Linked DNA regions of Notamacropus eugenii. The protein of the gene in region 2 purifies or fractionates together with the protein of the main gene of each other region. This does not show direct contact. Links are inferred from orthologs where the notes say so. Each region holds a gene or a part of one and is shown on either strand. Other genes may lie near its edges.

Region 1 (7,002 bases), on a different chromosome or scaffold from region 2:
AAAAAGCTTGTTTAAACCTTAACATCAAATATTCTAAGATCTTGACAACTGGTCCCATCAATTTCTGACAAAGGGAGAAGAAATGAAAGCAGTGTCAGAATTTATACACTTGAGTTCAAAGATCACTGCAGATGGTGACTGCAGCCATAAAACTAAAAGACACTTGCTTCTTGGAAGGGAAGTTATGGCAAATTTGGACACCATATTAAAAAGCAGAGACATCACCTTGCCAGTAAAAAAGTTCATGTAGTCAAAGCTATGGCTTTTCCACTAGCAATGTATGGTTATGATAACTGGAGTAAAAGAAAAGCTGAGTGCTACAGAATTGACACTTTAGAATTTTGGTGCTGGAATACACTTTTTGAAAGTTCCTTGGACAGCAAGGAGATCAAATCAGTCAATACTTAAAGAAATTAATTCAACCTATTCATTGGAAGGTCAAATACAAAAGCTAAAGCTTAAATACTTTGGTCACAATGAGAAGATGGGACTCATTGGAAAAGACCATGATGTTGGGAAAGATTGAAGACAAAAAAAAGAGAAGGGAATGACAGAGAATGAGATAGGTAGATAGTATCATAGAAATAATGAACATGAGTTTGAATAGATTTTAGGAGACAGAAGAGCCTGTTGTGCTATGGTCTGTGGCATCACAACTGAGTGCCTTAATAACAACAACCACAGCAATCATTTATGTAGGGAGACAGCAAAATTTTTCAGTCAATCAAAATACAGCCGATAGCTGTGGACAGTAAAGGCAGGAGTGGAGTGAGTGGAAAGGCTTGCCTTCTTAGCTTACCATTTTTCTGATCAAATTCTTTTGCATATTAAATCAGATAGGTTAGAGAGTGATTAGCTAATGGAAGGTTGAGATCTCCACTTATACATAGGTTTCGAAAAGAGACCTGGAGGTATTCAACTTGGCTTTTGTTAGCTGGTAAGATAATTTCAGCTGAGATGACCGGTTGGTGGCCACCAAGAATCCACCAAGAGGAGGTGAGAGTGACAAGTCCAGTGAGAGAAGCAGTAAGACTCCATCTTCCAGAACCAATTAATATTCCTAAAGAGCAAGTTTGTCCATATCATCCTATCCCCTCCCCATTCAATCAACTACACTAACTCCCTTTTGTCTCCTGGAACAAGTTACAAAATCCTCTGGCTTTTTAAAGCCCTCCATAACCTGCTCATTCTTCCTTTTCCAGTCCTTTTACTCTTTACATCCCTTCATGCACTCTGTGATACACTTTGCTGTTGCTGGAACTCCATCTCCTGACTGCACATTTTCACTGGCTGTCCCCCATGAGTGGAACTCTTTTTACTTATTGCTGCCCAACATCCCTGGCTTCCATCAAATCTCAGGCAAAATCCCATCTTCTGCAAAAGGCCTTTCCAATCCCCTTTAATGTTAATGTCTTATCTCTGTGGATTATCTCCAGTTTCTCTTGTCTGCATCTTGTTTGTCTTCCCCATTAGACTGTCTTTAGTTCCTTGACAGCAGGGACTGTCTTTGACCTTTCTTTGTATCCCCAGTGCTTAGCATAGTGCCTGGTACACAGTAAGAGCTCAATAAATGCTTGTTGAATCATGCCAACAGGAGAAATTCATGGTCCTGCAGCATGAGAGGTTCAAGTTACCTTCTACACGTTCCCCTTGTGTGTGTGTGTGTGTGCGCGTGTCCATTCTCCCCAATGATACTGTATCTATATTTTGTACCTTGAAATCGTAACTCGGCATGTGACTTTTAAATGTCTTTGCTTTGAAACAATTGTATCCTATGGCTGGCTAAAGAAAAGGTAAGTGTATCCGTGGATATTTTAACCGCAAGTAGACTCGCTGAGAGGGATAGGTTTTCTCTTGCGAACACACACCACACACACACACACACACACACACACACACACACACACACACACACACACACACACACACACACACACACACACACACACACACACACACACACACACACACACACACACACACACTGTGTCAGTGAATTAATCTGGGTGGTCAGAAGCAAGGGCATTCTTGGCTTGCTTTATTCAGATCTGACTATGCAGAAGGCACCAATTATGAGCCCAGCTCCAGGTTGAGACTTTCATCCCTTCCTGGGTCATATGCCTTTAAAAAAGCATACCGGGACAGCTCGCTTTCACCAAGTGGGGCACACGAAATACTCAGGTAAGTGGACGAGAAAGGAAAAAAACCCAGGGTTCCCCCGTGCCCCCCTTCTGGGGGACGGGGTTTCCCGTCCTGGACGCCGGTCCTCAGGCTGCTGTCGGCGTGACACTTCCACGTGAAGACTGCAGAACTCCGGGCTCCAACGCGGGTCTCCCGGCCCCGCTTCTTGGTTAGGGCGCCCAGGGCCGGCCCGGGGGATGGCTTCTCTTCTCGGAGGTGAGTGCGGCGGGCGGGGCCGCCAGGGAGGGGCACGGGGCACGGGGCACCGGACTCCGGAGGCTCAGCTAGTCTTCCCCGTCTCCACCCCCGCCTCCCAGTGCCTGCAGTGGGGCCCTCCCCGAAGCTGCTGTGCATTATGGGGAGGACGCCAGACTCTAGTCCGGTGGGTGGCAGCTCTCCAGATTTCTGGTGGCCAGCCTCGTTTGGGGCGGGGTTTGGGAATGTGTGTTAGATGTGTGTGTGTGTGTGTGTGTGTGTGTGTGTGTGCGTGTGTGCGTGTGTGTGCGCGTGTCTGCGCGCGCGTGGAGCCAGAATCTCTTTCTCCCTCTACAAATGCAGCACTTAGAAATACAAAAATGGGATCCGCTCCCTCCTCCCTCCTTCTCTGCTTTCCCCACCCCATCACACCTCTAGTCATCCTTCCCTTCTTCTCCTTCCTTCCTTCTGCCCCCTCCCCAGAGTGAATCACGCGCCCTCCTCTGACACTTGGCAGCAAAACAGCGCCGAATTTATCCTTCACGTGACCGAAGGGGGTTGGGTGGTTGGTGGGGGGAAGGGAGGCAGCCAGGAAAAGGAGGGAACGGAATTCGCCGTTACCCCGGCGACAGGCCCCGCCCGCCGGTTTGGGGAAGTGGGGTAGGAGGAGGACGTCAGCACGTCAGCCGGGGTTTTGCTGTTTGATTGACAGTTGCCATAGCGACCGGGTCGGTCAGTCGCCATTTTGTTGGTAGGGTTTTTTTTTAAACCCTTTCGCTTCCCGCCCGAATAATAATAAAAAGCTCCCTGGGAGTGAGGTGGGGGCGGTAGCGGCAACTGCGGCGGGGGAATCCGGGAGGCTGCTGCGGTGGCTGCGGTGGATCAGGCCCAGGCCGGCGCGGGGAGCGGACACCTCGAGCTGGGGGTGCGGGTGCCACGGGCGCTGCTGTTCCTGCTACTACTGTTCCTGCTGCTGCTGCCGCCGCCGCCGCTGCTGCGGGAGAGACCGGTGTGTGTGTGAGTGTGTGAGTGTGTGAGAGTGCGAGTGTGTGTGTGAGAGTGCGAGTGTGTGTGAGCGTGAGAGTGAGTGTGGGTGAGTGTCTGTGAGAGAAGGGGAGAGAGGAGAACTAGTGTGAATGTGAGTGTGTGCGCGCGTGTGTGTGCGTGTGTGTGTGCGTGTGCGTGTGTGTCCGTGCTAGGAGGATCTCTCGGGGGGCGGGCGGCTAGGACTTTTCTGGCGGATAAGCCGCCGCCGCCGCCGCCGCCGCCGCCGCCCCGGCCCCGGCGCTTCTCATTGCGCAGGTTTGGAGCGCGCGCCATTTTGTGAGATTTACAAAATCTTACTCGGAAAGGAGCCGGGAGCCGCGGAGACTGAGGGACCCCGGGCCGCGGCCGCCGGGGAGAGGCCGCCGCCACCGCCGCCCTCCCCGCCGCGCCCGGCCTCGCCCGGCCTAGCTCGGCCTCGCCCCGCCGCCTGACTGATCCTCCGAGGCCGGGGACTGCGGTATTTGCCGGGGAGGGGGGTTGTCGCCTTGCTGGTCTCTGGAGCCTGAGACGCAGTGGCCGGTGAGTGGAGCCGGGAAGTGCCGGGGGCGGAGAGAGGCGGCCGGGGCGGTGCTGGAGCCCGAGGCCCTCGGATGGGACCGTAACTGCGGGAAGCCGGGGAGCAGGAGCCGACATCGGCCGCCGTCGTCTCGGTGAGTGTCCGGAGCCTCCCTCCCCTCTCTGCCCCCGGCCCCGGCCGCAGGCCTCTCCCGGGCACTGAAGCCTTCCTTCCCCCCGTCCTAGGCCGGGCTCCCCAGCTAGGACTTGCAGTGACATACAGGGCGAAGGGAGAGGGAGGCCGCGTGTGCGTGTATAATAATTACATAGGTGTGCATGTATACGTTGGGGAGGAAACCTGCCATTTTAGAAAGAAGTGTCCCTGGTCCCGGTCCTGCCGGCGGAATCCCCCCCTCGTGGAGCCGGCCTGGGGAGGAGCTGCGGGTGCAGGCCTCTGCGAGGTGCAGTCGGAAACGGCTCCTTTTAGCGAAGTGGAGTGTGGGGTGAGTGGAAGTTAGGAGGAAGGACCCCGACTCCTGCGGATGGGGATGGCAGGTAGCAGAGAGAGGAGCCCTTGGTGCCCCCCGTGCTCCCCTTTTGTGGCCATACAGGGCTGGCTTCTTTTTATATCCTTGGGGTTGGAGAAAGTGCTGGGTCCGTGCAAGGGAAAGCTGCTTCAGCTGTGCAGAGAAGTCAGGAATTATTCAGCAGTGGACCCTTTTCCTTGTTAAAATGAATCCGCAAACATGGGTAGGTAGGCTGCAGTGAGAGGATGGAAACAAGGGCAGGTGGTGGAGGAGATGATTTTAAAAAAATAATAATCTTAATCTTTTAATCTGTTTGGGCTTTTAAAGTCAGGTAGTCTGTGGTACTCTAAATTCCCTGAAGTTAAAGCAAACTTGGCCTTTTGAGGTGGCAACTTAAATACCTGTTTAGCAACTGGAGAATTGGATGACAGAGAACATGTTTATCATAATGGACCCACAAAAGTTTTCAGATGTGGCTTTTAAATTTATGGACATAAACCCGGAGCCTGTTTGGAATTCAGCATTTTACCCCCAAAGTCAGTGAATATATTTCATATACAGAAAAGAAAAGGTCAGTGTCTCCATTCAAATTCCATAGTTATAAATAGCACCGTAGTAGGTGTCTATCTCTTAGCCAACTTGAGGTTCCACTTTATTCTTTCCTTGATCATCAGAATTCTCTGGTGCCAGACTTGCTTGATTCTTGCCTTACTCATCAGAAAATAGATATACCTTAAAAATTGACTTTACACTAACAATATTAAAGAACACTCCTGATTCTGCAAAAGAGTTCATTTGATACATAAGCAGCTGATTATAAGTAATAATGAATAGTGTAGCCATTTACATGTCATTACAGCTTTATGACTAAGGGGAAGTAGTGCTGTTAGCTTGTAATTGGCTCTATCGTTTGTTGAATTGGAAAGTGAAGGCTGAGATGATCTGGTGCCATTTTGTCCAAATTTATTTTAAAGAAATCTGTTAGAAGTATTTTTGTATTTGAAAACTATGTACTTCATTCACTGAAAACTCTTAATGCAGTTCTTAGCTTTTCTCCTCTATTTGTTCTATGTGGAATAACAGTTCAACAAGTATTCTGATTAGCTGTAGACCTTATTTGACTATTGATAACTATTCATATAGATCTGTGATCTCATCTTTTGGGACTTCAGTAATGCAGATCTCCATTCATCTATTCCTGGCTATCCTGAGTATCCATGGTTTCACAAAAGTTGGTCCTGGGGATCTACCCTGTGTGGTTGATGAATATAAAATGAATTTTGATAAACATAAGTTTGGTTTATTCCTTTAAAGTACCTTGCCTTTATCTGTGTACCATTTCGTAATTTGCATAATTAAAATGATTAAATATATTGGCATAAGGATATTTTTTAATGTAAGGAAGTTTTTGCTTTTACATACTTCTACATTTCTTTTCTGTTCTTTGGTTTAACAGATATAAAGAATGTTGATTCTAGGTAGACAACAGATTTCTGTGTAGCATAAGATTCATATAATTTTTATGTGTAGTGTGTGGATAGTGTCAAATACAGTAATTATGGGACTTAGTTATAGATAAAGTTTTAAAATACATAATGATTCTGAACTATTCAAACTAACCAATTTTTAAAAAAAGATTTGATGTTGGAATACAGTCGTTTTTATAACGACACTCTAGATGTACTCAAGACAAAAACTTTCTTACCAGAAAGTTTTCAGTGACTTGGGTCTATATTGCATCCTACATAGATATCCATGTGAAAATAGGTTATGACAGTTTCATATGTACTTATATTGATTTGTAAATTAACTAGAAAAATTAAAATAGAAAATATATTTGACACAGCATATATGTTACAACTTTTTACATCTTTAAAAATTTTAATATGTAATCTACTTTTTTGCTGCTCTTATTTGTTTTACATGATTTGCGACTGAGTTCACAAGATTTTGACACATACTTTAATTCACACTTAATCACATTTGATATTAAGTGTACCTTTACTGAACAGTCTGTTTTTCCAAGTCTGACCTTGATTACATCCCATAGATTTTTAATGGGGCTTAAGTCAGGCCAGTTGCCAGGCCATGACATTTGTTTATTACTTTTTTCTATTAAATAAAGTTCTTAACCATTAGTGACTATGTAACATGGTACAAAGTTACGTTGATAGTATTACAGCTACATTTAAGATGTTTGTAATTCCAGAACAATTCCGCTTCTCAGTATATCACTATATTAGTGTTTATAATTCTTTATAGAATTATAGAATATAGAATAGGGCCAAGACTTTCAGACCCATTGGAAGTTAAAAATCTCCAAAAAGACTTTTTGTGGGTGGATGTTTTCCAGATTGTGATCTAATTGCCCGGATCTTACCCAGGCTCACTTGAATTTCTTCTATTAAGAGTTGGTTTAGCTGTGATAGAAAAAATGGATTTCAGCAGTAAGAATTACTTTCCATTTATTAATGAATACCTCAGTTTTTGTATTGTTTTGCCTACCACAACCTTTTTTCCCCCTTCATGATCAGTTTTTTTTTCTCTTTTCAAAACT
Region 2 (7,281 bases):
GCTCTTTTCTGCTGTCATTACGCACAGCTCTGTTGTTTCATTAGAACTGCTCAACCAAAACACCCGCTAGGACATTTGGTACTAGGGGAGTGATATATTTAAAAAAAAAAAAAAAAAAAAGATTGGAAGGGATGGCTTTCTCCTTGCTTTTATCTACTGTCTATAGGCAGCTGCAATGTGAGAAAAAGGCTTAGGGCTTTCGTTAGGGCTTTGTTAGGGCTACTGAAAACCACAGCCCTCTTGTCATATATTTCAGCTTCGCTGCCTCCCTGATCGTGGTAATACCCTCCACTCTTGGTTTCAAAAACTCCATATTCTCTTGGCTCTCTCCCACTTCTTTGTCTGATCAGTGTTTCATTCACTCACTCTTCTTCTTCCTGATAATCTCTTGTGGTGCTTATTAAGTCTTGTATTGACTTTTGCACATATTACTTCCAAAGCTCTATCTCTAGCCTTAACTTCTCTCTAAGGGTCTAGACCTGTATCTTTATTGTTTATACAGTTTCTTTGGCTTTCCCACTGGCATCTTCAACTTCACATGTCCAAAAGCAAGCCTGTCATATTTCTGCAAGAAGCTGATCCCTCATTTTATCTTGTTGTAGTTGTTGTTCATCTTTTGTTTTTGAAGAGGACCAATGACATCACAGGGGATATCTTGACTTTTTATGTGAATCAGATTTAAGTGAGGTAGAGTTGCACAGTCATCAGCCTTAGTCTCTCTTTCTGAGTCACCAGAGTCTAATTCTAAGACAAAAGTCAAGATGACTGGTGATGGCCCAGGTTGCAGTAGATGCCCTTGGTGTCTTTGATGCCTGATCAAGCTTTAAGTGCTTGGCAGTGCCTGCTTCAGCTACCTTCATGGTCCTTGGAACAAAATGTTCTCATCTGCCCATTCTGTCTGGGAAAGTCTTCACATGATAGAGGTAGTATTTCCAACAATAGAATTGCCATTTATTCAATCACTGATTTAAAAGCCTTGGGGTTATCTTTGACTCTTTCATCTCTCTCACACACAAATTCAATCAGTTGCAAAAATCTTATTTTTTTTCCTCCACAGCATCTTTCACATCCTTTCCCTGTTATACACTGATATAGGACATCCTCATTACCTGTATGGATTATTTACTTTTTCGCTTCTCTGATTCATCCTTCCCAGTATTGTCTTGCTCTATAACCATTCTACTATTGAGTGGGATGATTTTCAATATACTTTCTTTATTGGGGGTGTGTGTGTTGTGCAATCAAGGTTAAGTGACTTGCCCAGGGTCACACAGTGAGTGACTCCAGGATCAATACTCTATCCACTACACCACTTAACTTGCCCCTCAATATACTTTCATCTTCATTGGAAATTTATTTGAGATTTGAACCTTGATATCTATTTGCATGAAACTTGATTTATAATTTTTATTAATACTCAAGATAAATCACCCAGCACTTGCTACTTTCAGTTCCTCTCCTCTTTCTCCTTCCTGAAACCTCTGCAGGCTGGCTTCTGGCTTCTCACTTCATCACTCAAGTGAAACTGTTCTCTCCAGTTACCAGTGCTTGCTTAATTGCCAAATCTGATAGCCTTTTCTCAGTCTTCATCCTTCTCAACTTATCTGCTGCTTTTGACACTGTTTACCACCCTCTCCTCATAGATAACTCTCTCCCCTCTGGGTTTTCATCATACTATTATTCTCTCCTGGTTCTTATTCCACCTGCTTGACTAGTCTTTCTCTGTCTCCTTTATAGGCTCATCATCCACATCATATTCTCTAGCTGAGTGGCTTAATAAATGCTTCTTGAGTGATAGAAAACTGTTTCCCATAGGAATCATAAGATCATATAATTCAGGGAATTCTACAAGGGACCCTAAACTTCACCCAGGCCAATCTCTCATTCACATTAGGGAAGAAAAAACTAGGGTCCACAGATATGTAATGGTTTGCTGAAGATCACACAGTGGTGGCAGAGCCATCTTGAACCCACGTCCCCTCATTTCCAAATTTATTCTCTTTCCACTACATGCAAGTCATGGTAACATGTAATTTGAATGTTTCCTAAGGGAAGGCTGTGTTTGAAATCTGCAAAATTGGGGGTAATTTGAATATCTTTGGTTCCACGAGAGGCAAAACATTCAGCATGACTGAATAGTACAAACAGGATAGAATTTGTCTTAATTGCTCTCATTGGAAGTCTATGAGTTTGTCCTTGGTAAAAAACAATCTTAAATACAATGAGACCCAAGATATAGGCTTTTAGGGGCTTTGTTTCCTTTAATTTTATTTCTCAGCTTCACTGAGATTTCACTTACGTTTGCTAGATTTATTCAAGGAAATAGGGAAAGAAGCTTTGGATGAAGAACAGTAGACATTTGGACACTGAGGAATCTTACACTGAAAGCATAATATGGCAAAGATTACATATTGTGATATAAGAACATCCATTGAGAAATGTCATATATAATCCGGTATTCACCTATCTGGAGTTATCAAGGGGGAATTTATATAATTTATAAGCCATCATGACTTAAAAAAAATAAATCACCAGCTGCCTCAGTAAACCCCACCCAAATTCAGCTATATGCAGCTTCTCTTCCTGTTTTTTTTTTTCCCAACTCTCCAGTAAATATGGATTTGGCATTTGGAACAAAGCTAATACTATTGACAGAGAAAACAGTATGGTTCTTGCCCTTGGTTGGAATGGTGCCTATAGTGCAGATGGGTAGGAATAAAAACCTCATTCTTTATTGAGTAAGCAGCTGTCACTCAAATAACAGGAGAAAATGTTTAATATTCCCAATTTACTGTCTTTTCTCTGAGGCTGTCTCATCAAAATATTACATCAAAACCAAACATGGCACAGAGCCCACATGGTCCAAAAAGGGCATAACCTTGTAGCTTGGGTGACCCTTTAGCTTCACAGTATCCTGTTCCCTTCTTTTGCATGACAGCTGAGGGCATATTTATCAGTCCCTTCTTTCTTTGCTCTTAGGTGTGAAATCCTGTGTGAAAGAAGCTGTCTTTATCCTACCATTCCACTACACCAGGCATGCCACAGAGTAAATGTCACCTGTGATGTTCATCACAGAACACCCTTGGGAGAGAGACTTCCAGCTACAACCCTCTATAGCATTTTGCTATCTTTTCATTTGTTCAGTCTGCTTTTTTGCCTTTGACTGTGCTTGTCTTAGCTATCAGATATAAGAGGGACAATCATAAATCAAAAAAAATCCTTTGTTTATTTGTCTCTTTCCTGTTAGAACACTCATGGCTCATTCTTTTGGTTCTGCAGAAACACATGTGAAAAGAGAACAGAAGCATACAGCAAAATCTATGTGCCTACCAGTAAGATTTAATTAAAGTCTTAAAACAATCCTTCTGAAACAACTTCCCCATTTTTTCCCCTTGAAAGGAAGAATCAGATCAGTAAGAAATGATCAGAGGTATCATTTTGTCCTTGAATTTATTCCTGCCTGTCTCCCTCATTATTATAGTTTTGCAACCGAGCTTGGAGAGAAATTTCGACATGAAGTTGTGAGAGATGATTAGATTATGTGTTTTAAAAACAATCCAGTTTCTAGGATTCTGAAATAACGGTGAAGGTAGCTTTTTTGGTAAGATTTCTTTTTCTCCCTTTCTGTCTCCCTTTGTCAAAATTGATGACCTAAAGGGAGACTGACTGGTTTTTCCTTCAGTGCCACAGTCAAATGACATAATATGCTTTAGGGCAACATATAAATATGTGCTGGAAGCTTAGTATGTTTATTCTTTAAAATTTTTACTTAAGACTTATAATTTCCTTCATAATCTTGGCCCATCAGCTTGTGAGCATTCTCATTGAATCACAGATCCCAGGATGATGGACTCTCCTCTACAACAGGAGCAAGGAGTTCTCCTTTGTGTTCAAATCCAAGACTTAAATATGTTTTATTTCAGGACCCTGAGAGGTCTTAAATGCAGTATATGACAACCTGGAGGAAACTGGGCTACGAGAAAAAGGTGAGGCAATAAGGTGTCAGAGGAAAGAGCACCTATACTGGCGTCAAATCACCTACACTTGAAGCCCGACTCCCACGGCTGGAATTATGACCAAGCTATTTCGTCCCTAGGAAAGCAGTTTCAGTCTCCCGTCTTTATTTGAACTCAGTTTCCCCGTCTGAAAACTGATGGGGCTGGGCTAGATGGTGTTCTAATTGAGCCTCCCAGCCCATGCTGCCAAGAGGCTCCTGGGCAGGGAGCGGCCAGGTCGGGACGTGCCACCGCAGCTGCCAGACACTGCAGCATTGCCATGGCAGCAGGGCTTTGCCGCATCCACTGCCGCAGCCTCAGCCGCAGCCGCCCGGGGCCTCAGGAACAGCACGAAACCTTCCCCCCAGCCCCCCTCTCCAGCCCCACCCCGCACAGGGGCTGCAGAGAAAGAGGGCGCAGCTGCAGAGGCGCCTCCCCACCCCCTCCTCTCCGCCCACGTGAGGAGTCTGGGGCTAGGAAAGGGGGAGACAAGACCGACTAGTCAGAAGAGGCGGAGGAAAGGAGAGGAAGAGGACGAGGAAGGGAGTGCAGCAGAGGCGACAGGAGGAGCCCGACGAGAAGAGGTGGAGCTCGGGCAGACCGAGAGACAGGCGGACGGACGGAGAGGAAGAAGGAGACAGGGAGGAAAAGGGAGACCGAGGCAGACAGTCTAGCCTGAGGGACAGTCTGGACGCGTAGCGTCTAGAACGAGACCAAGAGAAAAAGAGAGAGGGAAAGAAAAACATATATATAAAAAGAGAAATAGAGAAAGCAAGAAAGGAGAGCCACAAGAAGAAAGATTGTGGACGAGCAGGTGAGAGGGTCGGGGGTCGGGAAGGACCCGAAAAAGAAGGGGGGAAGAGAGGAGGAACGGGGGAAGGCTGCAGAGTAGGACCAGAGGAGAAAGGGGCCAAGGCTAGAAGGGTCCCTGGGGAAGGGGGTGGGGTTCGACAGAGAGGGACTTTGAAGGGGGGAGGGGCGCTGGTTTCCCCTTTAAGGTTGCCTAGGGCAACCACCTTGACCAGACCGAGGCCCATTGACGTCAGTGATCTTGCTGTGATTGGTCGTGGCTGGTTAGTTTCCGGTGGGAGGGGGGAGCTTTCAGGCTGTCGAGAGCACCTGAGAACCGCCACAGTGGAGGGGGGCGACGCAAAACGTGTTCAAGACGGCTCCCAGCCGCCCACTCCTGGGACCTCTGAGCATGCGGTTGCCAGCACGTCGGTAAGTGGAGCGTGTCCGGGGTCCGGCCTCGGTCGCGCTTCGCTGCCGGGCCGATCCGTTTTGTTGCGGCTGGAGGGATCCAAGATGGCGCCTCGCGGAGCGCTCTGGGGAAGGGCCGCACCCACCCGTTCTTTCCCCTCCCCCTTCCCCGCCAGGCCTCCGGGGCTGCGCCCGCCCCCCGCCCTCGCTGCTGTATTCTGTAGCCCTCCGCCACCAGACGAGAAGCATTCACCTTCGGTTCCCTCCGCCTACAAATCGCACCCCTCCCTTTTCGGCTCGCGCGCGCCCTCCCCTGGCTCCGCCCATCCCCGAGCCCCCTCCTTCCTCGTTCCTGCGGTTCTCTGACCCCCACCTCCCGATGCTGAGAGAGAAGAGCATCCGAATCTGATCCAGTACAATAAAATATGTGAAAGTGGTCTGCGAGCTTTCAAATGCTATACATCTGATACCTTTCAGTGTGGTTGAGAGACTGAGGTGAGATATTGGTTAGGGGGCTTTGCAAACCTTCAAGCGATATATAAATGTTAACTATTATGGCTGTTATTATTGTTACAATCGTATGCTATTATTCTTATTACCCGTTCCTCTAACACAGATCCTAAACAAGTCTTTGTTAATGAAACTCCCCTGACGGCATTTTGTTTTAACTCCACCCCGCTTCTTGTCATCTAATGCACCTTCTTCTCCTTTTTCCCCCCATTGAGCAGTATTTCCCTCCTCTTCCTTTGTTCTTCACCTACCTCTAAACCGGGTTTACACATCTCTCTGCTCCTGCCTTCTCCCTTCCCCCCCCATCTCTCTTTTCCTCTACTGTTGTTGCCTGCCAGCTACTACTGGAATGGTAATTTGGCCTCCCCTTTTCATTCTTTTCCGGAGTCCCTGTGGGCGTAAATGAAATGAAATGCAGTATTCTGCTGTTCCTCAAAACTAAACCAAACCAAAAAACCCAAACTGATGCGTGGTTAAATGGCCCAGGTTACAGTCTTGATTCTCCTGCTACGGGCGTAGTCTTGAACAATTCTCTTGAATGTCTCTATCTCCCCTGCCCCACATGAAAGTAGGAACACATTTTTTCCTTTTGGGAGTAATTTATTCTCATCTGGAGTCGTAACAAAAGCACAGTTCGTTTTATACAGGAAAAATGGTAAGATCCCACAATAGTTACAACGTAGCTTTTGTGTAATGGCTACAAAATCATTAGTTTACTTCCATTGTAACGCTGTGCCCCTTCTCCCTCAGGCTTCTGTTTTTTAGCATCGGCTCAGCCTTTGGTAGGCTGCCTTCTTAATAGGTATTGTTCTGAACCAGAAAGATTTTGTCAAAATAAGATGTTAAATCTCTTATTTGACAGAAAACCATTTAAACTGAAGAGGTATTGCTGCTGAATTTCTGAATAAACGAAGTTTCGGACACAAGTAATACCCATATGAGCATGGCAAGCTGTAAAACAACCACCACCAAAACTTTAATTTTGTGCTATTATGGAAGATTCAAGAAGTTTGTCTTTAACATGAGAACTTCATTTCCAAGCAATATATCTTCAGCTTGGCAAGAACGTTTCTCTGTGTCAAAATGGAGGCTAACCCAAGCAGGAAAGCTGTTAACCCCACTAGGCAGTGCTCTAGACTGAGAATCACAAAGCAGGGATTGCTAACGGCTTGAAATGCAGTATCTAGAATAATTAGCCTTTTGGGGGAGCTTTTGTAGTTCTAGAGTCTTAAAAATAAATCTTTCCAATCAGGTGATGGCACATGTTTGGGTTATTCAGAGATTCAAGTGATTTCAGATTTTTTCTTCTCATTTTCTTGTGGTCTCTTGGTTCATTATTAGAGGCCTCAGTTTCCTTATCAGTAAAACAAAGGTGTTGGCCTTGATTACCTCTGAGTTCCCTTCTAATCCATGATCAGGTGTTTTAAAGCATTGTGCTGCTATTGTGATTTGACTCGGAAGAGTCAGGGTTGATATTTATAATTTAATGTGTTTTTATAGTGATAACTTTTGTCATATATACATGAAATGATTTCAGACTTTGAAAGGTAAAGGATCTAATTTAACTCTGCAGTTG

What was found.
Region 1: the proteins of PRKAR1A (region 2) and DYRK1A purify together in Homo sapiens (affinity purification with mass spectrometry; 6 studies listed by BioGRID and IntAct, with this or other methods). This does not show direct contact. The link is inferred for Notamacropus eugenii from reciprocal best matches to the Homo sapiens genes PRKAR1A and DYRK1A.

Annotation. Positions count from the first base shown.
Region 1 is NC_092876.1:420,706,416-420,713,417, forward strand, and holds the start of DYRK1A (dual specificity tyrosine-phosphorylation-regulated kinase 1A), read left to right. Parts: upstream 1-3,943; 5' UTR 3,944-4,073; intron 4,074-7,002. UniProt on the Homo sapiens protein: Dual-specificity kinase which possesses both serine/threonine and tyrosine kinase activities. Exhibits a substrate preference for proline at position P+1 and arginine at position P-3.
Region 2 is NC_092873.1:331,704,410-331,711,690, forward strand, and holds the start of PRKAR1A (cAMP-dependent protein kinase type I-alpha regulatory subunit), read left to right. Parts: upstream 1-4,257; 5' UTR 4,258-4,809; exon of another isoform or gene 4,810-5,216; intron 5,217-5,310; exon of another isoform or gene 5,311-5,690; intron 5,691-7,281. UniProt on the Homo sapiens protein: Regulatory subunit of the cAMP-dependent protein kinases involved in cAMP signaling in cells.